2 linked regions of the Saccharomyces cerevisiae S288C genome follow. The gene in region 1 interacts genetically with each later gene. Each region holds a gene or a part of one and is shown in the gene's direction. Other genes may lie near its edges. The genes, in order: ILT1 and PFY1.

Region 1 (15,646 bases):
TAAAACTTTCCTTTTGAACTTGGAACCCGGATCATCCAAAGTGGGTTCCACAATATTTGATAAGTCCATCATCCTTGATAACAACGGGGAAGAAATTCTGCTTATGGTAGTTTGATTCATGTTCAGGAACTGGTTTACACCATTAGGGGTAGTAGACCGAAGAGAACTACTTTGCGGTCTGTTCATATTAATATTGGAGAACAAGGGGTTCTTATTGTCTTCTAAATTTTGTAACTCTTGAGAGGAATGGTTTAGTAATTCATCAAAACTTCGAACTTTTTGAAATAAATCGTTATCATTATCAGTAATGGAGCCTCGTTGCTCCGACTCATTAGAATCATAAGATAAATTTGAAAACGGACCAGATTTTCGCTCTTCCTTCTTGTTTCCACAGCCGCATTTTAAAGGTTGCTTTCTAACGACAGCTTGCTGATCTAATATGAACTCAATAGATTCGCCAAAATTGTAACCATAATTGAATCCGGAGTACATGCAATAAGGGAAAGTAATGATGAATTCATGTTGGAACTGCACCACTCTATTAAATTTTATATTATTTTTTCGCAAGAAATCGGGAGAAGTTATGATGTTTTGATGTCTAATAAAAGCTGGACAATTTTCCTTATTACTTGATGGTTCCTTTGATAAAATTTTCAAAAATTGGTCTGTGTTTGCGGACGGTATGGAATACCATTGTTTGGGAGCACCGAAATGCAAGTAGTTTATAGAGCATTTATTCTGTTCGTCCAAATGCCATGGAAAAATGCATTTAGACTGACCAGTAAGTAACCGTCTGTTACTTGAGTTTATAGAATCTGGCAAATTATTCAAATTCCATAAAGTTAAATCATAGGGGAAAATTGAAGAGTTTTCGTCCACTGCATAAAAAGGTTTCGAAAAAGCGATGGTTTTCCAAAAATCACTTTCTAAAATTTGTAACTGTGCCAAATCATAACAATCCTGCTGACTATCTACGCGGCAATTTTCCTTTAAAGTTTTATCATTAAAATCACCTTGACTTATTCGAGAGTCTAGACTTTCGGCCAAGTTCTTCCACTGTGTTAAATTGTACGACTTATTGTCATACTCGTTTTCGATGCTAAATACACCGTTTTCATGTTTGTCCCATCGCTTGGCTTGTTGTTGAATCGGGGAGTCTAGTTGTATAGTCTTTAAACTTTCCGCAGGAGGTGAGCCTTCTAAAAGCTCCAGCCATTCTTTGGGAGGAATGACTTTGACAATACCATTTTCTATTCCGAATTTAGTAATTTCATCAATGAAATATTGGAAATTTGCAAACTCCATCATAGACGGCTTAAAAACCGGAACGCCATCAATAACCTCAACTGGCTTGATTTCCATTGTAGTCTGTTTTTGTAGCTATTCTTCAAATTAAAAAAAAAAAATTACAACGATGTTGTTCACTTTGTAGAAGCAAATACTTTTTAAACGCCCAACAAAGAAACAAATAGTGAAAAAAATTGAAAATTGGAAAAAATTGGGAAATGGAGGTTAATGATGAACAGAAAGGAAAAACGATGAAATATGTGGTGGGCAAAGAGTTTCTGTAAGCAAGAGACTTAGCGAAACAAAAAAAAAATACAACTGGCCAAACGTATTATTACTTGGCTATTTTCTTCCTAACAGACCAACTTCTTTTGCCTTCTGTATGGCGGGAGGAGGAGGGGGGAGGTTTTCTTCTTGTTTTTTCCGTTAACTTTTTCCCGATATGCGTAGAAGGATAATAATTTCAAATACACAACTCACACACGCGTTTGTACTTCTACCTCAACACAAACGATAAACGTTAAAAACTTCTCTTCAGTAAGTAGTGGTAATAATCCTAAACAGAGAGAAAATACTGTTTTCTTTTTCGGTTTGCTATTTTTACCTTTCCTTTCCTTTCTCTTTGGTGAAAAACCGGATCGGATGTAAACGTAAATGCCAATTCAAGGGACCTGTAAGACAAGAGAATGCGAAGCGGTAATAGTGGCAGTTGTAACCATTTTCTAGTCTTTCTCCGTAAAGTAGTTACTTGCCACAATGCCGCCATAGTGCGGAAAACAACGAAATATAATTCCTTGAAGCACAAAACGCCACCCCTTCCCCTTGCCCTTGCCCTTGCGGACGCCCTTTCCCCTCAAAATTTTTTTCATATTACGTCTCCGGCTTCGCTCTCTTACTCTTGGCGCCGGGCGGACCCCGGCAGGAAGGGGAGAACCCAGCCCCTTCCTACTCAAGGCTCTGCGCGGCGTTTTCTCCACACCCCACAGGGCGGGGTAGAGCCGTGCCGGGTGATACACATCATCACATCCTATATGAAATCTATATCATATCACATTGGTATACATAGTACAAAGGAAGAAAAAAATTGTAATCATTAACGGTCCCTGCTGCGCTGGCTGAGCAGCGTCTCTGCATGATTGATACCCGGCAGATCCAGCGAGGCACGTGCTCTTTCCACGGAGTATCTTGTGTCCAGTTGGTGGTTGGCAAGCATCTCTTCTCTTGTGCGATCCAGCGAAGTTCTGAGCTTATTTCCGCGGGCACTGGCCATTGATCTTCTAGGCAAGTTGTTCGTTGTTGTAACGGGGCTGAGCTGGTCACGGCGTTCCAGAGTGGTAGAGACACGGTACCCCTTGCGCGAGCCTTGCTCACCATTGAGTATACTCATTGGTATTTCCTCTGTGACTATGGTCTCTTGTGAGTGGCTGACACCATCAAAATGAGTGTCCAGTGAAATGGGCTCTTTGAAATCTGTAAGGGGACGTATTTCGTTTATTCTGGGCCTGCTAGGGTCCGTAGGGTCGTAGCCTTGTGGGTAGAGGTCAAAATCACCGCGTAACCACATTTCTCTAACGATCTCTATATCTTTCGGATAGAATATCTTTCTGATACAGTCAATGGTGAATCTTGGCAGTAGGCAGAACAGCACGCCAACGAAAAGTACTGCCCAATAGGCAGGTTGTGCGAATACACGCGCCGCACCCTTGTAAAATTCGTTACTTGACGACGAGCTTGTCCATATACCCGTCCAGCCGTAAAACACGGCCAGTGATAGACATATGAATAGGCCACAGAACCAGTCCCATCTATACTGTTCCATGAAGACGTAAAAGTTACATGAAGTGACTGCAATTGCTGTAACGAAGACACCGACAAAGTAACGGTGGTCTAGTCCAAGGCCATTTTCAGTTACAACCATGTTTTTATGGTACGCCAAATAGGGGAAAAAGAAGCATATCACAGATTGGTATACACCATCCAACATGTACCAAAGAAATTTGGTTTGGTTCCATTCTTTTCTTAGGATACCCACACGGTACAACTGTGGCACCAGCATCGAAACGGTGTCGGAAACATCTTGGTCGAGTACTGCTAGTAAAATAACAGGTACGGATGTGAATGCAAGATTGTAGAATGTCAAGTACGTATACTCAAACAAATACGACCCATCGAAATTATTGTAAATACCATACCAGAACAGGGATAGCGTAAAAATAACGTTCTTGTAGAAAAACTGTGGGATCATCTCTGCCAGTCTCTTATAACACCATTTACCATGCACCAATACCAGTCTTGTCACATATCTGAACTGCCCGATGGCATAATCAGAACACATGACAGCTTGTCTGCCTTCTTCACCCGCGATACCAACACCAACGTCCGCCGATTGAATCATGGCTACATCATTCGAACCATCACCAATGGCCAAGGTCATAACGTCTAAGGTCTTTTTTACCAACTTGACCACTGCAGCCTTTTGTGCTGGAGAAACTCTGCAACACAAAACAGCTTTACAATTCTTACACAGTAGCAAGAACTTGCGTCTCATTTCTTCACCATTCAAAGCAACTTTTAGCGCATCGCCATCGATAATGACAGCAAAATTTCCCTGTGGCAAACCATGCTCTCTTTTAGCTTCTTTTAACTCCTCCTCGGATCCACTCATGCCAAATTTTTCCCTTAAGTATTTTGTCACCAAATTGTTAACCACTTGAATAGGGTCACTACCAAATTCTTCTACATCTTCGCCGGAAGCCTTCACAACCAATAATTCCATATCATTGTTCAAAACATTGCAGGAAAAACCAATGTTAATGGCAGTTTCCACTTTATCACCCGTTAGGACCCATAACTTAATACCGGCCTCGGCCAAGAGGGCAATCGAATCAGGAACACCATCTTGTAAACGATCCTCAATGGCCGTACCACCAAGCAAAATAAGCTCACGTTCAATAACGTCAGTAACTTTGTCCAACTCTTCCTCCCTATTAGTAACGGATGCAGCGGCCACATCATAAGTCTTAACCCAACGTTCATACTCGGACCACGTGAGCTCTCTTTGAGCCAAACATAATGTTCTTAAACCTTCTGTGGCATATTCTTCCAAATGGAGGGCCGTCTTTTCCAACAAAGTAGCGTCGTTTTGAGTGCGATCTAATCTTGAATAGATAACGGAATCCGCACCTTTACATATTAACAGTGCTTTAGGTTCATCCTTTGGTGTAGAGCCAGGGATCTTGATAATGCAACTCATCCTTTTTCTCGACGAATTGAATTCAAGTACGTTCAGAACTTGGAACTCCTTTTGAACACCCTGGATCTCTACTATCAATCCACTTTTTGAACTACCAACGAAACTGTACCCTAATTGTCTGGCGGTGGAAACTAAGGCAGACTCATCAGGTGATTGAGCCTTGATGTCCAGTTTTTTAGGATCATCTTTATTTGGCTCCACAAGGACAGAATGACATAATGCGAGCGCCAGCAAAAAGTGTTCACAGCACTTTTGTTGATGGTCGCCACTGGATCCTTTCAAGTCTTCCACAATTTCCTTAGATACAAAAGTTAAATCCTCCGGACAAAACTGTGTATTATCACTCATTGATCTTAATTCGTCGATCATTGTTTCCCTATCTTTTGCTATCTCTTCCTTTTCGCGACGACCTTCCGATTCGACATCAACACCTTGTCTCTTCCTCAGGCCTGCTAGTGCCTCCGTATAGGCACGTCCATAAGACACACCGTTAATAGTACATTTTTTGAATTCCATCACATTTTGTGTCAAGGTGCCTGTTTTATCTGAAAAAATATACTCAATTTGACCCAAATCATCGGAGATGTTCCACGACTTTGGTGTACATGGATAGTCTAGCTTGGCATTATACAACAAAACATCAGTGTAAATGAAAATAGCCTGTGCTGTCTTAATAATTTCCACAGAAATATATAAAGAGATCGGAACCAATGACTGATAAAGAATAACCGCCACCCAAAAAGAAACAAAACCGTTAGTTGAGGCAGAACCTCCAATGGTACCAAATTCAAAATAATCTCTCGATCGAGGTTTCTGTTTATAATAAACACCGTTAACAATACCAGCAGTGAAACATAGGATAAACAATAGTACAAAATTCAAAATCACAGAAAAATTCAACTCTCTTGAAATTCTGGATTTTTTGGTTGGAGTGACACCAGCGTTTATCATAATCTTGGTATCGTCACCAGTAAAAATAACCATACCCATGGCCCACTTAGTGTTTCTCAAGGTACAACCTCTCAATAATAAGTTATTGATATTTACAGGCTCATTTCTGATGTTTCCATTTTGTGTATCTTGCCATTTGAAATTACCTTGATAAGAATACAAGTTGGCATGTGGGCCTTCACTTTCAACCCAAAACTTCGTCCTGGTAATATCCCTTGAACTCTTAATAATCTTGCTACATTTTAATGATTGACGGACCTTTAGATTTGTTTCACCATCCAAATTTTTGGTTTCCACATAACAAGCGCCATCAACATCTGATGTCGATAATAAGATCATATCAGCAGGAATTTCATCGTTATTGTGAACACGAACAATATCACCAACTTTAACATTTTTCCAGTAATCCTTGGCAAACCTACATTCAGGGTTTGGCTGTAGCGTTCGATCAACTAAATTTTCACCATCGTTATACCTGTTAGCCTGTGACATTGTTTGATTCAGGTTCTCATAATCCAAAGAGGGACGACCAAAGTCGGCAGACATTCTGTAACTACCAATTGAATCCAGAGACCCACGTGGCCCAAAGCTTCTCGAGTTCCTCTTCCTTCGTAATTCTTCCCTTTTTTTCTGTAACTTCTTTTCTCTACCAGCAGCAGTGAGGTTTTCTGAAAAATACTCAAAAATTTTAATCAATGCCCTTGTATTCGCTTTCTTGAAACGCCTCCATAAGGAAACGTTATCAACAGCAACATTTTCATTCTTCACCCCGCTTAAGATATGTGTTCTTGTATTATTAACTTCTAAATCCAATACAGTCCTTCTGGAATCTTCGATACCATCCTTAATAGCAGTGATAATTACGATGACAATTAGGGGAACGGATGCAAAACCTGGATTTGTCACACCAAATATTTGAAAAGCACCTAGAATCAACAGTATTAAAAAGTAAATATTGGCAAAATTATGAAATTGGAAAAGAATGTTCTTGGGAAAAAATGTTAATGGAGTATACTTCGTAGTCCTGATTTTATTACGCGGGTAAACTGCCAACGGTAAGCCGTCCTCGTCAAGCATGTCCTCCGGCAAGGGTAAATTATAGTAAACTGTTCTCAACTCATCAGACCTATTTTGCAAGGCTGAATTTTCGAGACTGTCTTCTTTTGTACTGAATTCATCAATAGCATTGTGGAAGTTCTTCTTGGCCCATTTCAATGTTTTTGACCTATTTATATCTATCCTACCTGACTTATTTCTTCTTGTACCAAAACGTACTCTTTTCAACTTATGATCTGCCTGGGAATCATTGTTGCTACCTTCATTGTTATCCAACTCAACATCCTCAAAGCCTCCAGTATTAGGCATAGGTGTTGCCTGGAACGAATGGAGGTCATCATCCACCTCATTTTCGTGTTCATGTATCTCGGTTTTTTTACCATTGAGTTCATCATCATCATTAATATCATTATCGTTACTATAATCATCGATTCCATCAAAAGTAACTTTTGAGAGATCGGGTGTGCTAATATCTTTCATTGGCTTAGATTGTCGCTTCAAAACAGAACCGCCGGTTTTCGCTACTTCAATATTTCCATGCGCACTACTGGGTTTTTCAAATTGAAAACTATCGTCAAATGGTGACATGGACGACAGACCATTAGATGCTGATCCCGATTCATGCTCAATATCATCCACGAAGGGAGAAGTGGGTTTGGAGGGACTTGACATATATGTGTTGAGTTTATGCTATGATTCTTTTTAAAGAATTCTATTATTAAAAGGATTAGGAAAAAAGGAACAAAGTACGAACAATGTGAAAGCAAATAGAAAAAGAAACGGATGGTTTTTTAAACTCTCTCAACGCTCTTGCGTTTAATCAACTCTTTTGATTAATTTGTTTCACCTGAGACTCTGTCACAGCAGAAAGAAGCAGCGAAAGTAATACTAAGAGGTAAACCACCGAGTAAGCGATGAATCTGGTTTGTCTATTGTCTGTCTCTATGCAATAGCAGGTAAGATCAACAAAAGCGATAATAACAAGAAATACATTAAAAACTTTATGATCCGGAATTAAACGTGGACCCTCGAGCGGACTAATGCTTACATTAGTGTAGGACGGTCGATCCCGGCTTCCATGGAACGGTTGAAAAATTTGGTGCGAAAAAAAAAAAAAAAACGAACAGGGTAGGAAAAAGTAAACTAAAACGCGTCTAGTAAAAATCTGGCGTAAAACTAAAGGTAGAGAAAACCATTTTAGCGACGCTACATTTTTGAGAAATGCGCCTCTTTAGATGACCATCTATGGTTTTTGCATTTATCGTAAATTTTTTTTTTTTTGCAGCAGCAGCAGCATAGTAATGATATATATTTATATATTCAGTTGAGAAAACTTATACAGAAATGATCACTCGGGTTTCTTCTTTGCATACAATTTCGTCCATTCGCGAGCCTTAGCTTTGGCACCTTGCTCATTCTTTATCCAATCTTCAGCGACGTCATTAGCTAGCGGATCATTAGGATTAGGGCTAGCCAACAGTGCTTGAATGGACAGCAGGACGGTTCTGATCTGTAAAGCGGGTGACCAATTAGTTTTAAGCACATCAAGACATATACGGCCCAACCTATCAATATTGGGATGATATATCTTGGTTAAAAAACGTACTTTCGGTGCTTCCATTGGATAGTCGTCAGGCAGATATAATTCTAATTCGAAAATACCGTCTTCATATGGTGACTGTTCTGGGCCTTCGATTGTTACTTGGAAGTAACGTAAGTTGTCGTCATGTGGTTCTGCTGTAATGCCAGGTACTGGGTCACTTACTAATTTCTCAGTTTCCTATATGAAAGTTCACAAAGACTTTGCGTTTTCTGCCCTAGTAGTTTGTTCTGTTGAATTCCCTCCATATGAGCGTTTGCGGATATGGACAAAGGGAAGGCGGAACGCTGCTACAAACTGGACAAAAAAAGCCTTCTTGTTTTGGAAGTTTTGCGTTAGTATGTAAGTTCTAGCCATTATCAAGAGGAAACAGTGTAGAGTGTGACGGCTCAGACGAAAACGTCACTTCAGATTTCGTATATAATCCACTGCTCTTGTTTGAACATACCTTGATTATTCTCTTGGGTAATGATGCCATTTCTAACTATGTTACAATGAACCTGACCTTATTTGCTAATATTGGAAAAAAAAAGAACAGAAGAGTGTAAAGTACTATTCTCTATAGAGGTGTTTTGGTTCGTGGTGGCGCGCCATCTTTCAATGAATCACTTATCCTTTGTTTTAAAAACACCATAATTTCGGGTAACAATACGGATGCGGCATAATTAACTGAACTATTCTCTTTGATGGTTTAAAGGAAAACAAATTCCTGTTAGATGCCCATTATATTTGTTCACATGTAGAGAAGGCAAAGAAAAAACTGCTTATTGTACTTTGGTAATTTTTTAAATGATATTTAAAACGTTAGTATTTTCTGTTCCCGCGGCTCCCGCAGAATCTAATCATTAAGCTTGACTAGTATCAAGCTTTTTTCCTTCTTGTTCTGCATTCAAGTATTTGTTGGTAGTATTTCTAGACATCGAAAAGCTTTTTTAGCCCAGAAAAAAAGAGATGAAACGCTTAAATATCTCAAAATTAACATGAATTTATATTCTGTAAAAAAAGTATCGTCGCAAAATGAGAAATTAATGTTTAGCGATCTAATAGTGATCTTGAATATTTGACTACTTTGTTTGGATAACTTTTTCAGCATTGTCAGCATGCCCAAGAATAACGATTATTTTGCATCCAGATAAATGCTTCCAAGAACCTTTACTAGTTTTGTTTCTTGGTTTTTTATCGTCTAAATAAAAAAAGACGTCCTTGTTAAATTTCTCCCCAGTTGAAAAAAAATGTCTTGTGGCCTATCATGGTTTACTACAAACTGAATTGGAAAAGGATTTTCCTAATAGTTTGATGTCATGTAAAACGCCCTCGTATCTGCAACGGAAATACACAAATAAAGAAATATCAAATTAGCCGCCGACGTGTCATTTTCGTCGTTGTTGATGATCAAATTATCACAGTAAAAAATAGTACGGAATAGCGTACTTGAAAGGAGCATCGTTTAAAACACCGCGGAGGATAAGAAAGAGCCGGTCATTAGCATCCTACCCTTCACATAGTAAAGACTGAACATGACTATACGCTGCTTCAGTCACCTGTTCATAAGCAAATACCATGGATAGAAAAACAATCTCTTGTTACTCGTGTGCATCGAACCAGATTTCTAGCCGGGTAGTTTTGCAACTGAAAAAATTTTCTATTTTTTTTCTCAATCGCATCGCTCGCTAGCAAAGTGAAAGTGAAAAAAAAAAAATGTAAAACTGGGCATTAACCTTTATTGTTTCTGTATTCTTAGATCTTCATTGTGATCTGTTTCAGCGCGAATTCCACCTAGCCTTCTGCAAAAGTTCTTAAGAAAACACGACAGACCATAATGAGTGATAAAAACAGTCGTATCGCTATCGTTAGCGCTGATAAATGTAAACCAAAAAAGTGTCGTCAAGAGTGTAAACGTTCGTGTCCCGTTGTGAAAACTGGTAAATTATGTATTGAAGTCACTCCAACTTCAAAAATCGCATTCATTTCCGAAATCTTGTGTATTGGTTGTGGTATTTGCGTTAAGAAATGTCCATTTGATGCTATTCAAATTATCAATTTGCCAACTAATTTAGAAGCCCATGTAACTCACCGTTACTCTGCCAATAGTTTCAAACTGCACAGATTGCCAACACCAAGACCGGGTCAAGTCCTTGGTTTAGTCGGTACCAACGGTATTGGTAAGTCTACCGCCTTGAAAATCTTAGCCGGTAAACAAAAACCTAATTTAGGTCGTTTTGATGATCCTCCTGAATGGCAGGAAATTATTAAATATTTCCGTGGTTCTGAATTACAAAATTACTTCACCAAGATGCTGGAAGATGATATCAAGGCTATAATCAAACCTCAATATGTTGATAACATTCCTCGTGCTATTAAAGGTCCGGTTCAAAAAGTTGGCGAACTTTTGAAATTGAGAATGGAAAAAAGTCCTGAAGATGTGAAACGCTACATCAAAATTTTACAGTTGGAAAACGTTTTGAAAAGAGATATTGAAAAGTTATCTGGTGGTGAACTGCAAAGATTTGCCATTGGTATGTCATGTGTTCAAGAGGCTGATGTTTATATGTTCGATGAACCTTCATCTTATTTGGATGTTAAGCAACGTTTGAATGCCGCTCAAATTATTAGATCTTTACTAGCTCCAACTAAATACGTTATTTGTGTTGAGCACGATTTGTCAGTTTTGGATTATCTTTCCGATTTCGTTTGTATCATATATGGTGTTCCATCTGTTTACGGTGTTGTTACATTACCAGCCTCTGTCAGAGAAGGTATCAACATATTCTTGGACGGTCATATTCCTGCTGAAAACCTGAGATTCAGAACTGAAGCTTTACAATTTAGAATAGCTGATGCTACCGAAGACTTGCAGAATGACTCTGCTAGTCGCGCCTTCTCTTACCCAAGTTTGAAGAAAACTCAAGGTGATTTTGTTTTGAATGTTGAAGAAGGTGAATTCTCCGATTCCGAAATCCTTGTTATGATGGGTGAAAACGGTACCGGTAAGACCACTTTGATCAAATTACTAGCTGGTGCTTTGAAGCCAGATGAAGGACAAGATATTCCAAAATTGAATGTTTCTATGAAACCACAAAAAATTGCACCAAAGTTCCCAGGTACTGTCAGACAATTGTTTTTCAAGAAAATTAGAGGACAATTCCTAAATCCACAGTTTCAGACTGATGTCGTTAAACCTTTAAGGATTGACGATATTATTGATCAAGAAGTCCAACATTTGTCTGGTGGTGAATTACAAAGAGTCGCCATCGTCTTGGCATTGGGTATCCCAGCAGACATATACTTGATTGATGAGCCATCTGCCTACTTAGATTCCGAACAACGTATTATCTGTTCTAAAGTTATCAGAAGATTCATCTTACATAATAAGAAAACTGCGTTTATTGTCGAGCACGATTTCATCATGGCTACTTATCTTGCTGATAAGGTCATTGTTTTTGAAGGTATTCCTTCCAAGAATGCTCACGCAAGAGCCCCTGAATCTTTGTTGACTGGTTGTAACAGATTTTTGAAGAATTTGAATGTCACCTTCAGAAGGGATCCAAACTCCTTCAGACCAAGAATTAATAAGCTAGATTCCCAAATGGATAAAGAACAAAAATCATCAGGAAACTACTTTTTCTTGGATAACACCGGTATTTAAGCATCTTGGGATTCGGAGAACCAAGAGGACGATTGTTTTATTTTTGGGTTTAGAAATGTGGAGAAATAATTAAGAGTTATAATGTTTTTGCAAAACAAAATGAGTATTATATTACATTGAGTTCCTTCCCAAGCATCGGGTTGTTTATTTCTAGATATACGCCAACTAATACATTTCTAACTTCCCACCTTCATTACATCATAACCTGAAAGTGAACAACCTCCTCTTCGGTGATCCGTACTCCAGTTTATTTCATTTTTCTGTAAAGCAACTACACTATATTTATTCTCTATTTATTTTATATACCTATTGTATTTTAATTAATCGTTATTTTGTCCGCACCTTCTTCGTAATCGAATTTACCTTGTAAACGAGTCGTCATGATAAGCATTTGCTGCATTACTGAACGTTTATCTTAGCATGACATTAAAGTCCGTTTGTCTAAAATATCACCCAATTATTTCCGCGGTGTGAGCGCCAGATAAGGTGCTTCGGGTAATATGAGAACGCCGTTTCTTGATAGCATTTTTCAATGACTAGATAGGTAGATTACCTCTGTATCACACTTCTCGTACCAAACGAAACTCATATAAATAATGCTTTCCTTCTGGTGCCTTCTACTTTCCGCTGATCTCTATTTTCAAATTAACCGCTGAAATATAAACTGTGGAATACTATAACATAACATAGATTTAAGAATAAGGTATTCATGATCTCTGAAAAGGCTGCTACCGCTTTAGCTACTATAGCAACAGTTTGCTGGTGTGTCCAGCTAATTCCGCAAATAATATATAATTGGAAAAAAAAGGACTGTACGGGGCTGCCACCACTGATGATGTTCCTCTGGGTTGTTTCCGGAATTCCATTTGCCATATATTTCTGTGTTAGTAAAGGTAATGTCATTTTACAAGTTCAACCACACCTTTTTATGTTCTTCTGTTCTATAAGTTTCGTCCAATCGTGTTATTATCCACCAATCAGTATGGCGAGATCCAAAATAGTAATGATTGTAGCTGCTATTATTGCGGCTGATGTTGGCATGGAAGTTGGCTTTATATTATGGCTGAGGCCCCTTTACGAGAAGGGTGTTAAATGGCCCGATCTGATTTTTGGTATTTCTGCATCTGTTTTGTTAGCTGTCGGACTGCTTCCACCTTACTTTGAACTAGCCAAAAGGAAAGGTCGTGTTATTGGCATCAACTTTGCCTTCTTATTCATCGATTCATTAGGTGCTTGGCTATCTATCATCAGTGTTATCCTAGGTAATATGGATATTATGGGTATTATATTATACTCAATAGTTGCTGGAATGGAGTTAGGAATTTTCGCGTCTCATTTCATATGGTGGTGTAGGTTTAGATTCCTAGCTAAAGGCAATACTTTTGACGAAGAAAGTGGCCAAGCTCAAAAGGAAGAACCCGATGAAAAAATCGAACAAGATATTAGCAAGAGTGACCGAAATGTTACTAACTATAACCTGGATAACTGTTCAATCCCCGACGATGCTTCGAGCTTTGCAGACGATTTTAATATATACGATAGTACTGATGGGGGGACGTTATCAAGAGCCCAAACATTGCATGCTGTCCATGGAGTTGTGGTTAGAACAGATCCTGATCGTTATTCGAGGCTAAGTGTGTAACGAATCTGAGTCCTTTTTAGTTAGCACGTTTTCATCTCTTTTTGATAGCACGCTTAATAATATTCACCACTAGCGCAGTAATATGGCATCTGCCGCAGGTGTAAAGGTTTTCACTTCGCTTATATTCACAATACTATGCGTTCAAACACGGCCATCAGAAAAGATCAAAATAAGGATTATTAATTAAAAACTTAAACAGAAATTCAGTTTGCAACACCCTTCGCAATGGCGAAGTTTCCAAAAACAAAATCTCCAAACAAGATTAACATTCTTCTTATGTAACCACATGATATGCATATTTTATATAGACTGTACACATGAAAAACTTTTATCGTCCAAAATAATTAAAAGAAAATTTCAATCATACCATAGCACACTGTTCCAGTAACTGAGAAAAACATTGTGAAGCAACCAACATAATGCCAGATTGGCGCCAAAGTGAACCGACTAAATAACAACAACAGGCACGCACAGATCAAAATAAGGGAAACCAGTAAGGAAATGATAATAATGGCTATGAGAATATTTTGAATTTCTAAATCTATCTCATTATTACTTTGCCCGCGAAACAAGGATAAAACGATTCCCAGACATACACTTGCCATAATGCAAGATGTTAGCAGTGCAGACAAGTATAAAAATGTAACAACTTCGTCATGCCTATATTCGTAGATAGATTGTGAGTCCTCTATGTCTTGCTGTTGATACTGTAAGTACCTTTGAACGTCATCATATGACGCTGAAGTTGATTGTGAACCAAATGACGCAACAGAACCATAGTTAGTTGATGAACAATGCGGATGCTTAGAGTTTTGAAACAAATCTGGCGATGTTTTCTTGTCATGGCGAATCAAGTTTCGTAACTTCTCACAAAAATCATATGTGCGGTTGATGAAATTCCGGCTAAACAAAATAAACCCATAATCAGGCGGAGAATTTCTCAAAAGTAAGGATTCTTCGTTATCTGTTGTACTCCTGCTTCCATTAGTATCAATGTAAAAAGCATTGTCTAAATTATCCTCTTCTTGTTCATCAAATTCATTCCAATACCTAATAGGTTTCTTTTTAGTTTCATTATCCGATTGCTTTGATTTTTTGTGAATTCGAACTCTTCTGCCGCTGTCAACACTACCTTGTGAGTTGTTTATCGGCCCAGTCAGGTCAAACTCTTCCTCTAGACGATCCTTGCCCAGCTGGAAAAATTCATCAGGTGATAGCGAATCATCGGAATTTAATTTATATTGATCTCTTAGTAAAAGTTGAAATAAATCATTTTGCAATTCATTTGAGTGTACTAATTCTAAACATATTTTCCATGTGGTTAAGTCTGGTGGTATTAAGCTGCATTGAAACTCATTTGTAACAACTGATTTCATTAACTGTTTAAACTTATTGTCTTCATTAATAGCCGTCTGTGAAAGACCACTGGATCGACTAAGCTTTTTAATTTCTAAAATTGGAAAGGGTAATGTAGATACATTTCCAATAGTGATAGATTCATCCAAAGCTATCAAGTATATATCTCCATTGTCTGCTGATATGAATCTTGTTCTTTTAAAATCTAGCTTTGGTTCAATGGTTTTTAATCGATGGGACTGAATCCACTCCAAAGCGATCTTACTGATTGGCGATGGATCCAGTGAGTTTATGAGAGCGCTAATATTTTTTGTGTCGTTGCCACTCCTCATGGCCGAAAGAATATTCTTTACATCCCTTAGAAGCAGATCATTTGTGACAACATGATTTCTTAAGCCGCCCACGTGGCACATTACTATACAAGTATCCTCAGCAGTAGAGCTGACTATCATGTTTGGGTGCTGATTTATATTATCATCAGTAAGTAGTAAAGGACTGCCTTCGTTCCCGACAGTATCTAGTATACTAATAGAAACGTACTTCTCATTGGATTGTACAGCAGAGGGTAATATGTTCTTCTGTTTAGATAGGGATAAGGTATGTTGTAAGTCATTGAATGACTTTGCTGATCTTATAGATTTGTTGCCCGCAGAATTAATATTATCTGTAGTGTCTAAAATCTCCTTTGAAGTGGATATGATGCTATCGTCAATTATCCTAAAACCAATATTCAATAGCATGAACTTCAGTCCCTCTATGTCCTCGGACGATAATAAAAACCTTCCTAGATTCTCTGCTTTATCTATGAGGGCAGTATCGAATTCTAGCGAAGAATCAATCATTTTTGAAGTTTTC
Region 2 (9,965 bases), on another chromosome or scaffold:
TGGAGATGTTGACGATGGAAAACACTTACTGTATCCAGATATTGCCACCAACCTACCACTGAAGACTTCTGACAGACTTTTGGACGATATACTTTGCGATACTATTTTTCTCAATTCTACAGACCCGAAGGTCATGCAAAAGGGCCTGCAATCGAGGGGTATTTTAAAAGAGTCTATGCTTTCTTACTCAACTTTCAGAAGTAGTATTCGCCCTAACTGCTTGGGTTCATTAACTGATCAAGTGGTTTTTCAAACAAAATCCGAGTATGATTCCATTTCATGCCCAAAATATAATAAAATACATGTATTTCAGGCGGTCATCTTTAATCCATCACTGGCAGAACAGCAAATTTCAACTTTTGATGATATTGTTAAAATTCCTATTTATCATCTTAAGGTTAGCGTAAAAGTCCGCCAAGAACTGGAGCGGTTGAAGAAGCATGTCGGTGTTACTCAATTCCACTCACTAGATCATTTGCACGAATACGATCGAGTAGACCTTTCGACTTTTGATTCTTCCGATCCTAATTTGTTGGATTACGGTATTTACGTTTCTGATGATACTAACAAACTGATCTTGATTGAAATTTTTAAACCCGAGTTTAATTCACCTGAAGAGCATGAGAGTTTTACTGCCGACGCAATTAAGAAGAGATACAATGCTATGTGTGTAAAAAATGAATCACTAGATAAAAGCGAGACGCCATCTCAAGTTGACTGTTTTTACACACTTTTTAAAATTTTTAAAGGGCCTTTGACGAGGAAAAGTAAAGCGGAACCTACAAAGACAATTGATTCTGGAAATTTGGCCCTTAACACTCACCTGAATCCTGAATGGTTAACGTCCAAGTATGGATTTCAAGCAAGCTCAGAAATCGATGAGGAAACTAATGAGATATTTACTGAATACGTCCCTCCAGATATGGTGGACTATGTAAACGATTTGGAGACAAGAAAAATTCGAGAATCGTTTGTGAGGAAGTGTTTACAACTGATATTTTGGGGTCAACTATCTACCTCATTACTGGCACCTAATTCTCCCTTGAAAAATACGAAAAGCGTAAAGGGAATGTCTTCATTACAAACTTCTTTCTCAACACTACCTTGGTTCCATTTATTGGGAGAATCCAGAGCAAGGATTCTATTAAATTCCAATGAGCAAACTCATTCGCCTTTGGACGCAGAACCTCATTTTATTAATCTTTCCGTTTCGCATTATTATACCGATAGAGATATAATCAGAAACTACGAATCTTTGTCTTCTTTGGATCCTGAAAATATTGGGCTGTATTTTGACGCACTGACATACATTGCAAATAGGAAGGGGGCATATCAATTGATTGCTTACTGTGGAAAACAGGACATTATAGGCCAAGAAGCTCTAGAAAATGCTTTGTTAATGTTTAAAATTAACCCTAAAGAGTGTAACATCTCCGAATTAAATGAGGCGACTTTGCTATCTATTTACAAATATGAAACATCAAATAAGAGCCAAGTAACCTCTAATCACCTAACAAATTTGAAAAATGCTCTAAGATTGTTGGCCAAATATACCAAATCTGACAAACTAAAATTTTACGTCGATCATGAGCCCTACAGAGCTTTATCCCAGGCATACGACACACTTTCAATTGACGAGTCTGTTGATGAAGACATTATAAAAACTGCATATTCGGTCAAGATTAACGACTCTCCCGGATTAAAGTTGGATTGTGATAGAGCACTTTACACCATTGCTATCAGTAAAAGAAGCCTTGATTTGTTCAATTTTTTAACAGAGGAATGCCCACAGTTTTCCAACTATTATGGTCCAGAGAAGCTTGATTACCAAGAGGCATTGAAGCTTCTTCAAGTGAATGAAAATGCCTCTGACGAAACCATTTTGAAAATCTTTAAACAAAAGTGGTTTGATGAAAACGTTTATGAGCCTGACCAATTTCTTATTTTGAGGGCAGCATTGACCAAAATCAGTATAGAAAGAAATTCAACTTTAATCACCAACTTCTTACTAACTGGTACGATAGATCCAAATTCCTTGCCGCCAGAAAATTGGCCAACTGGCATTAATAATATCGGGAACACCTGTTACCTAAATTCTTTATTACAATATTACTTTTCCATTGCGCCACTAAGAAGATATGTATTGGAATATCAAAAAACGGTAGAAAATTTCAATGACCACCTCTCTAATAGTGGGCATATTAGAAGAATTGGTGGAAGAGAAATTAGTAGAGGCGAAGTGGAAAGATCTATTCAATTCATATACCAACTTCGCAACCTTTTCTATGCGATGGTTCATACAAGAGAAAGATGTGTAACACCCTCAAAAGAGCTAGCATATTTGGCATTTGCTCCAAGTAATGTTGAAGTAGAATTTGAAGTGGAAGGCAATAAAGTAGTTGATCAAACAGGAGTTCTTTCGGATTCAAAGAAGGAAACAACGGATGACGCATTTACTACAAAAATAAAGGATACAAGCCTGATTGATTTAGAAATGGAAGATGGCCTTAATGGCGATGTTGGTACAGATGCGAACAGAAAAAAAAATGAATCGAATGATGCTGAAGTAAGTGAGAACGAAGATACAACAGGATTAACTTCACCTACGCGTGTGGCAAAAATCAGTTCTGATCAATTAGAAAATGCTTTGGAAATGGGTAGGCAACAAGATGTTACTGAATGCATAGGAAACGTGTTATTTCAGATAGAAAGCGGTTCAGAGCCTATCCGATATGATGAAGACAACGAGCAATATGACTTGGTTAAGCAACTATTTTATGGTACTACTAAACAAAGTATTGTTCCTTTGTCCGCAACAAATAAAGTCCGTACGAAAGTTGAAAGATTCCTATCGTTACTGATAAATATTGGCGATCATCCTAAAGATATTTATGATGCGTTTGATTCTTATTTTAAAGACGAATATCTGACAATGGAAGAGTATGGTGATGTTATACGTACCGTTGCTGTTACAACTTTTCCTACTATTTTGCAGGTACAAATCCAAAGAGTTTATTACGATCGTGAAAGATTAATGCCGTTTAAATCCATTGAGCCCTTACCATTCAAAGAAGTTATTTACATGGACAGATACGCGGATACAGAGAACCCTTTATTGTTGGCAAAAAAGAAAGAAACAGAAGAAATGAAGCAAAAGTTGAAGGTAATGAAAAATAGACAAAGAGAGCTTTTGAGTCGTGATGATTCAGGGCTTACAAGGAAGGATGCATTTTTGGAGAGTATCAAGCTATTGGAATCGGATACCATAAAGAAAACTCCTTTAAAAATTGAGGCTGCTAATGATGTGATAAAGACGCTGAGAAACAACGTTCAAAATATCGATAATGAATTGATGAAATTATACAATGATATCAACAGTTTGGAAGAGAAAATAAGCCATCAATTTGACGATTTCAAGGAATATGGTTACTCACTGTTTTCGGTTTTTATTCATCGCGGCGAGGCCAGTTATGGTCACTATTGGATATATATCAAGGACAGAAATCGCAATGGAATTTGGAGGAAGTACAATGATGAAACCATCAGTGAGGTCCAGGAAGAGGAGGTCTTCAATTTCAATGAGGGTAACACTGCAACTCCATATTTCCTAGTATATGTCAAACAAGGACAAGAAGGTGATATTGAGCCATTGAAAAGAATTCTAAAGTAGTCTTAGTCAATGAAGAGTTTATGTAAAATGTCACTATTGCCATAAGTACCATTATTATGTAAAAAGCTTTGCCATATTCAATCGTTACGGGTGACTATCTGCTACGTAAAGAAAAACGAAAAAACAAAAAAAAAAAGAACAAGCTCATAGAAGTGAATACGAAAGCTGAAGAAAGTCGTTAAGTAGATAGGTTGCGTAAACTAGGTGCGTCCAATCAAAGTAATCCAATTAGATATACTGGACTATAATTAAGATGTCATCTGAAAGCCCACAGGATCAACCACAGAAGGAGCAAATCAGCAATAACGTCGGCGTTACCACCAATAGTACAAGCAATGAGGAAACAAGCCGCTCTCAAGATGATAATGTCAAGGAAGTCAATGGAAATGATGATACTAAAGAAGAGGAACAAGAAGAAGACGCAGAACTAGATGATTTATTTGGAGATGACAATGATGACGATGATGATGATGATGTTAAAAAATCGGAGACTGAAAAAAGTGATAGTGATAGTGATGAAGACGACGAGGGAGAGAATATCAACCATAGAAGTCGTCATAGAGAAAGTCTCGGGTTAGATGATGATGAAGCAGAGGAGCAAGCCATGTACACCCGAAAATTTTATGGTGAGGATGCTAATAACTTTTCTGATCAAGATGAGACTACTCACACTTTTAAAGAGGAAAATGTAGAGCTTGTCAGACATATTATTCCAAGTAAAGCTAATGTGAATGAAACGGCGTCTCACAACGAAATTTTCTATGCTAGAATTCCCAACTTTTTAACTATCGATCCAATTCCTTTCGACCCTCCAAGTTTTGAGGCCAAAGTAAACGAAAGGGCAAGCAATTCAGCTTCTAGGGAGGATCAACTGGACGACCGCCTGATTGATGAAAACACTGTTAGATGGAGATACTCTCGTGACAAAGACCAACATGTCTTTAAAGAATCAAATACACAAATAGTGCAGTGGTCAGACGGTACATATTCGCTAAAAGTTGGTGAAGAGTGTACAGATATATTGGTCAACGATACGAGCAACACTTTTTTGACAGTATCGCATGACCAACAAGAGTTGATCCAGTGTTACGAAGGGGGTGAAATAAAAAAGACGTTGATGTTTATTCCAACTTCGACGAATTCAAAAATACATCAAAAACTAAGTAAAGCTGTTATAAGAAGGAACCAAAGACAAAGCAAGGGTCCTGGAACATACATTGTAAGTATGGATCCTGAAGTGGAAAAGAAGGAGTTAGAGAGAAAGCAAAGCCAGATTTTAAGAGACAGAAGGAGAAGACAGCTCAAAGAAAAGGAGAAACAAGAATCCCCAGATGCCGCTTTTGAGACGGGATTTAGAAAGCAAAATTCACCCACTACCTATGGAGCCTCGAGAAGAAATGAATATGAAGAAGATGACTTTTTAGTCGACGACGATGAGGAAGAGGAGGCTGCGTTTGACGACGAAGAGGATGATAATGAGGAAGAAGAAGAAGAAGAGGACGCGGATGAAGAGAACGCCTCTCGTCTAAGAAATTTAAAAAGAGAAGGAGCAGCAATGTACAGAGAAGAGGAAGAAGAAGAAAAAGATAGGAGCGAGACAAAAAGAAGAAGGGTTGCGGTCATCGAGGACGACGAAGACGAGGATTAGAGGAGACGTTACTTTGTTTATATATATTAGTATGTACAATCGCAAAGAAATGGAGTGATGACATGTTGTAGTATTTAGTATGAGGTTACTGTGTGGGAGGTTTTACCATGATTTTTGGCGAGAACACGCCATGAAATGTCTTTGTACGAAACTCATTACCCGCATTAATATTTTTTTTCTTTTTAAAGCTCAGTTGACCCTTTCTCATTCCCTTCTTAAAACAACTGTGTGATCCTTGAGAAAAGATAAATTACATACACAACATAAACCCAACTACGATCGCAAATTATGTCTTGGCAAGGTATGTGAACGAGACAATTATCAATTGATTAAGAAAGAAATGAGTCGGAGGTTAGCTTGTGTGACAATGTTTGGCAATGCCCGATTTTTGTTGATGCGCGTAATTTCGAAGATTAACCACTCAGAGTAAATTACTAACTGGAATATCAAAAAACATATGAAATTTCAAACATGAATTTCTTTCCGTTTTTTTCTCCTACTTTTAAACAGCATACACTGATAACTTAATAGGAACCGGTAAAGTCGACAAAGCTGTCATCTACTCGAGAGCAGGTGACGCTGTTTGGGCTACTTCTGGTGGCCTATCTTTGCAACCAAACGAAATTGGTGAAATTGTTCAAGGCTTCGACAATCCAGCTGGTTTGCAAAGCAATGGTTTGCATATTCAAGGCCAAAAGTTCATGTTGTTGAGAGCTGACGATAGAAGTATCTACGGTAGACATGATGCTGAGGGTGTTGTTTGTGTAAGAACTAAGCAAACCGTTATTATTGCTCATTATCCACCAACCGTACAAGCCGGTGAGGCCACCAAGATTGTCGAGCAATTGGCTGACTACTTGATTGGTGTTCAATACTAATTTATGCAGGTAAAGTTTTCTTGCCTTATACACCACCTATTCTGGCATCTGCGGGATTTCGCTTCCTATTTTACAAATATTTTATTGATTGACGCTAATTATCACTGTAAAAGGCGCACTTTTTATATGTAGTCACATCCGGTATTTAACATATTTACGAAACAGTCTTAAGAATATCGACATTTGATATACTTATGTTTAATTTATCTACATATTACAATCATACGAGAAACACGCAAAAACAATTACTTGAATACTTCGAAAGGAGACCAATTTGGATGTACAACCCTTTTTTCGCCCTTTTCCTTCGATATGTTATTGATAGCTTCAAAGTCCTCAGTAGACAAAGTAAATATTTTCCTGTTCGTTTTGATTCGATCGGGATTCACAGATTTTGGCAAGACAACATAACCTCTTTGGACGTGCCAGCTAATAACAACGTGTCCGGGTTGAACGTTATTTTTCTTCGCAATTTCAAGGATAACCGGTTCCTTCAATAGTGGAGCATCGGTACTACCTAACGGAGAATAAGCTTCAACCACAATGCCTTTACTTTTACAAAAATTAATCAATTCGTCTTGAGGTAGTAATGGATGTATTTCGACTTGGTTAGCAGCTGGCGTAAGCTTATTACCTTGAGATGCTAATAGATCTTTCAGGTTATTTATAGAAAAGTTGGAGACTCCAACGGCCTTAGTTTTACCAGTCTTTGGTAGTTCCTGCATTAATTCCCAGGTTTTGATGAAATTCCAATTGGTGATATCCACTGCACGAGAACCATCCTTCTTTGTTGGCACACTCAAGATGTCTTCATTTTTGATGTAGGCTGGATCTAATCTGGCAGGCCAATGCATCAAATATAAGTCTACGTAGTCCAATCCTAACCTCTTTAGTGATTGATCCAGCGCTACTTCAGGTTCGTGGTGTTGTGTACACCATAACTTTGTAGTAACAAAGATTTCTTCCCGAGGAACACCTGAATCCTTGATGGCTTGACCGACTTGGTCTTCATTACGGTAAATAGCAGCAGTATCAATGTGTCGGTAGCCATCTTTCAAAGCGGTTAAAACAGCCTTATAAGCATCGTTCTCTTTCGACTGCCACGTACCTAAACCTATTTGAGGGATTTGGGCTCCAGTATTTAGAGAAAGGATTTTCGTAGAATCATGTAAAGTAGCAGGCATTTTTCTATCTTAATTTAGTAATGAGAGCTGTCCAAATTTTAGCTTGCTAAGATGCACCTATTAAGCTCTCATCCTGAATCAAGTCATTAGAATGTCTTGATTCTCCCGGTTTTATACGCCCAGTAAAGCAATTCTTTACTGCCGTAGTCTTTTCCTGAAAGCTCGGTTTCTACTCTAGGGAATTAAGGAGAGCAGCGGTGTGCGATTCGTCACACGGGTGAATGCCTGATAGGCATATTATTAAGCCGTGTTTGCAATCTGCGTGCTAGATTGATTCTACCCCTTTCTGAGAAGGCGAAATGACCTTGCTATGACAATGAGGGAGAAAAGACCGCCCTTCCTTGTTCTTCCCCGGAATAGTCTGCCCCGATTGTTCGCCGGTGTTATAACTTACAATTCTTATACACTCCATAGGAAGTTTGTTGACAAGAGTTAAGTTTCAAATATCTAAAGCCAGGAAGTATGATCACCCAAGCATATCCATTGCAATATGTAAGACATTCAAGCGGATTTCTGGGACTTTAGAAAGTGAAATTTAAAAAAAAAAAAATTTAACAGAGGTCATACTTCCAAAAAAAAAAAAATGTAGAACTGGGCGAAATATCATCAGCTCATTCACTCTAATGCGGCCCTTCTGTAACCTCGAGCAAAGAGCCCAAATAACTTCATCTCTTCTCTCTTACGAACTGAAATATTCTCATGTTACCTATTGAGTAGTTGCGGGGACATTGGCGCGCGCAGAAAGAGTGAAAAATTTTATAGTGGAATATAGAAATTGAGATGAGATGAGATACTAAGACTAAAAATAATAGTAAAAAGAAGTTAAAACAGATTTAGAGATTCAAACTCCGTTATTTTTAGAAGGTCATGTCCTTGGAAGATAAATTTGATTCATTGTCTGTGTCGCAAGGTGCCTCGGACCATATTAATAATCAGCTCTTAGAGAAGTATAGTCACAAAATAAAAACTGATGAATTATCATTCAGCAGAGCGAAAACATCAAAGGATAAAGCAAATAGGGCGACTGTGGAAAATGTCTTAGATCCGAGAACTATGAGATTTTTGAAGTCTATGGTCACCAGAGGTGTGATTGCAGATTTGAACGGTTGCTTAAGTACTGGGAAAGAAGCTAATGTTTACCACGCTTTTGCAGGTACCGGTAAGGCACCCGTAATAGATGAGGAAACAGGCCAGTATGAAGTTTTAGAGACAGACGGATCCCGTGCAGAATATGCCATTAAGATTTATAAGACCTCTATCCTAGTCTTCAAAGATCGTGAAAGATATGTTGATGGTGAATTTAGATTTAGAAATTCCAGATCTCAACATAATCCAAGGAAAATGATTAAAATTTGGGCTGAAAAGGAATTTAGGAACCTGAAAAGAATTTATCAAAGTGGCGTCATTCCAGCTCCTAAGCCAATAGAAGTTAAGAACAACGTCTTAGTTATGGAATTTTTAAGCCGAGGTAATGGATTTGCCTCACCTAAATTAAAAGATTATCCGTACAAGAATCGTGATGAAATTTTCCATTATTATCACACAATGGTGGCATATATGAGATTGCTGTACCAAGTTTGTCGCCTGGTTCATGCCGATTTGTCAGAGTATAACACCATAGTTCATGATGATAAACTATATATGATCGATGTTTCCCAAAGTGTGGAACCTGAACATCCAATGAGTTTAGATTTTTTAAGGATGGATATCAAAAACGTTAACCTTTATTTCGAGAAGATGGGTATAAGTATTTTCCCTGAAAGGGTTATTTTTCAATTTGTCATATCAGAAACTTTGGAGAAATTTAAAGGTGATTATAACAATATTAGCGCCTTGGTTGCATACATTGCTAGTAATCTACCAATAAAATCTACAGAACAAGATGAGGCAGAAGATGAAATATTCAGATCGCTGCATTTAGTTAGATCATTGGGTGGATTAGAGGAAAGAGATTTTGATAGGTATACTGATGGTAAGTTTGACTTACTGAAAAGCTTGATTGCCCATGATAATGAACGCAATTTTGCTGCTTCTGAGCAATTTGAATTTGATAACGCTGACCACGAATGTAGTTCTGGCACAGAGGAATTCTCAGATGATGAAGAAGACGGCTCAAGCGGATCTGAAGAAGATGACGAGGAGGAGGGCGAGTACTATGACGATGATGAACCAAAAGTTTTAAAGGGGAAGAAACATGAGGACAAGGATTTAAAAAAATTGCGCAAGCAGGAAGCTAAAGATGCAAAAAGAGAAAAAAGGAAAACAAAAGTCAAGAAGCACATCAAGAAAAAATTGGTGAAAAAAACGAAATCAAAGAAATAATGCGGCCCTGTGAAAATACATTTGGGAATCGTTGTTTGGAGTCGAAGAACAGAAAGTAGGTCAGCAATTTAACGAAGAAAGTTCAAGACTAAAAGTGTAATATCAGTATCAAAAGTTTGGTACTTTTCATACAAGTGCAATAAATATTAAAATAAACAATAGCCTTATTTAGTGGTCTTGATTTTTAGTGAAATCAATCCCAATAACTAAAAACAGCAAAAAAGGCAGGCATCACATTGAACCGCCACCTTGATGTTGGCCAA

The links.
Region 2: mutations in ILT1 (region 1) and PFY1 impair growth when combined (synthetic growth defect), as found in Saccharomyces cerevisiae (2 studies listed by BioGRID, with this or other methods).

What each region holds. Positions count from the first base shown.
Region 1 is NC_001136.10:622,855-638,500, reverse strand, and holds ILT1 (Ilt1p), read left to right. Parts: upstream 1-12,502; coding exon 12,503-13,435; downstream 13,436-15,646. Other genes in the region: histone demethylase GIS1, read right to left, coding at 1-1,362; aminophospholipid-translocating P4-type ATPase DNF2, read right to left, coding at 2,381-7,219; E2 ubiquitin-conjugating protein UBC13, read right to left, coding at 7,896-8,327, 8,596-8,625; RLI1 (Fe-S cluster-binding ribosome biosynthesis protein), read left to right, coding at 9,967-11,793; VTC5 (Vtc5p), read right to left, coding at 13,780-15,646.
Region 2 is NC_001147.6:548,529-558,493, reverse strand, and holds PFY1 (profilin), read left to right. Parts: upstream 1-5,606; coding exon 5,607-5,619; intron 5,620-5,828; coding exon 5,829-6,196; downstream 6,197-9,965. Other genes in the region: ubiquitin-specific protease UBP2, read left to right, coding at 1-3,670; Paf1-complex subunit LEO1, read left to right, coding at 3,924-5,318; glycerol 2-dehydrogenase (NADP(+)) GCY1, read right to left, coding at 6,442-7,380; protein kinase RIO1, read left to right, coding at 8,248-9,702; RTC5 (Rtc5p), read right to left, coding at 9,934-9,965. UniProt on the Saccharomyces cerevisiae protein: Binds to actin and affects the structure of the cytoskeleton. At high concentrations, profilin prevents the polymerization of actin, whereas it enhances it at low concentrations. By binding to PIP2, it inhibits the formation of IP3 and DG.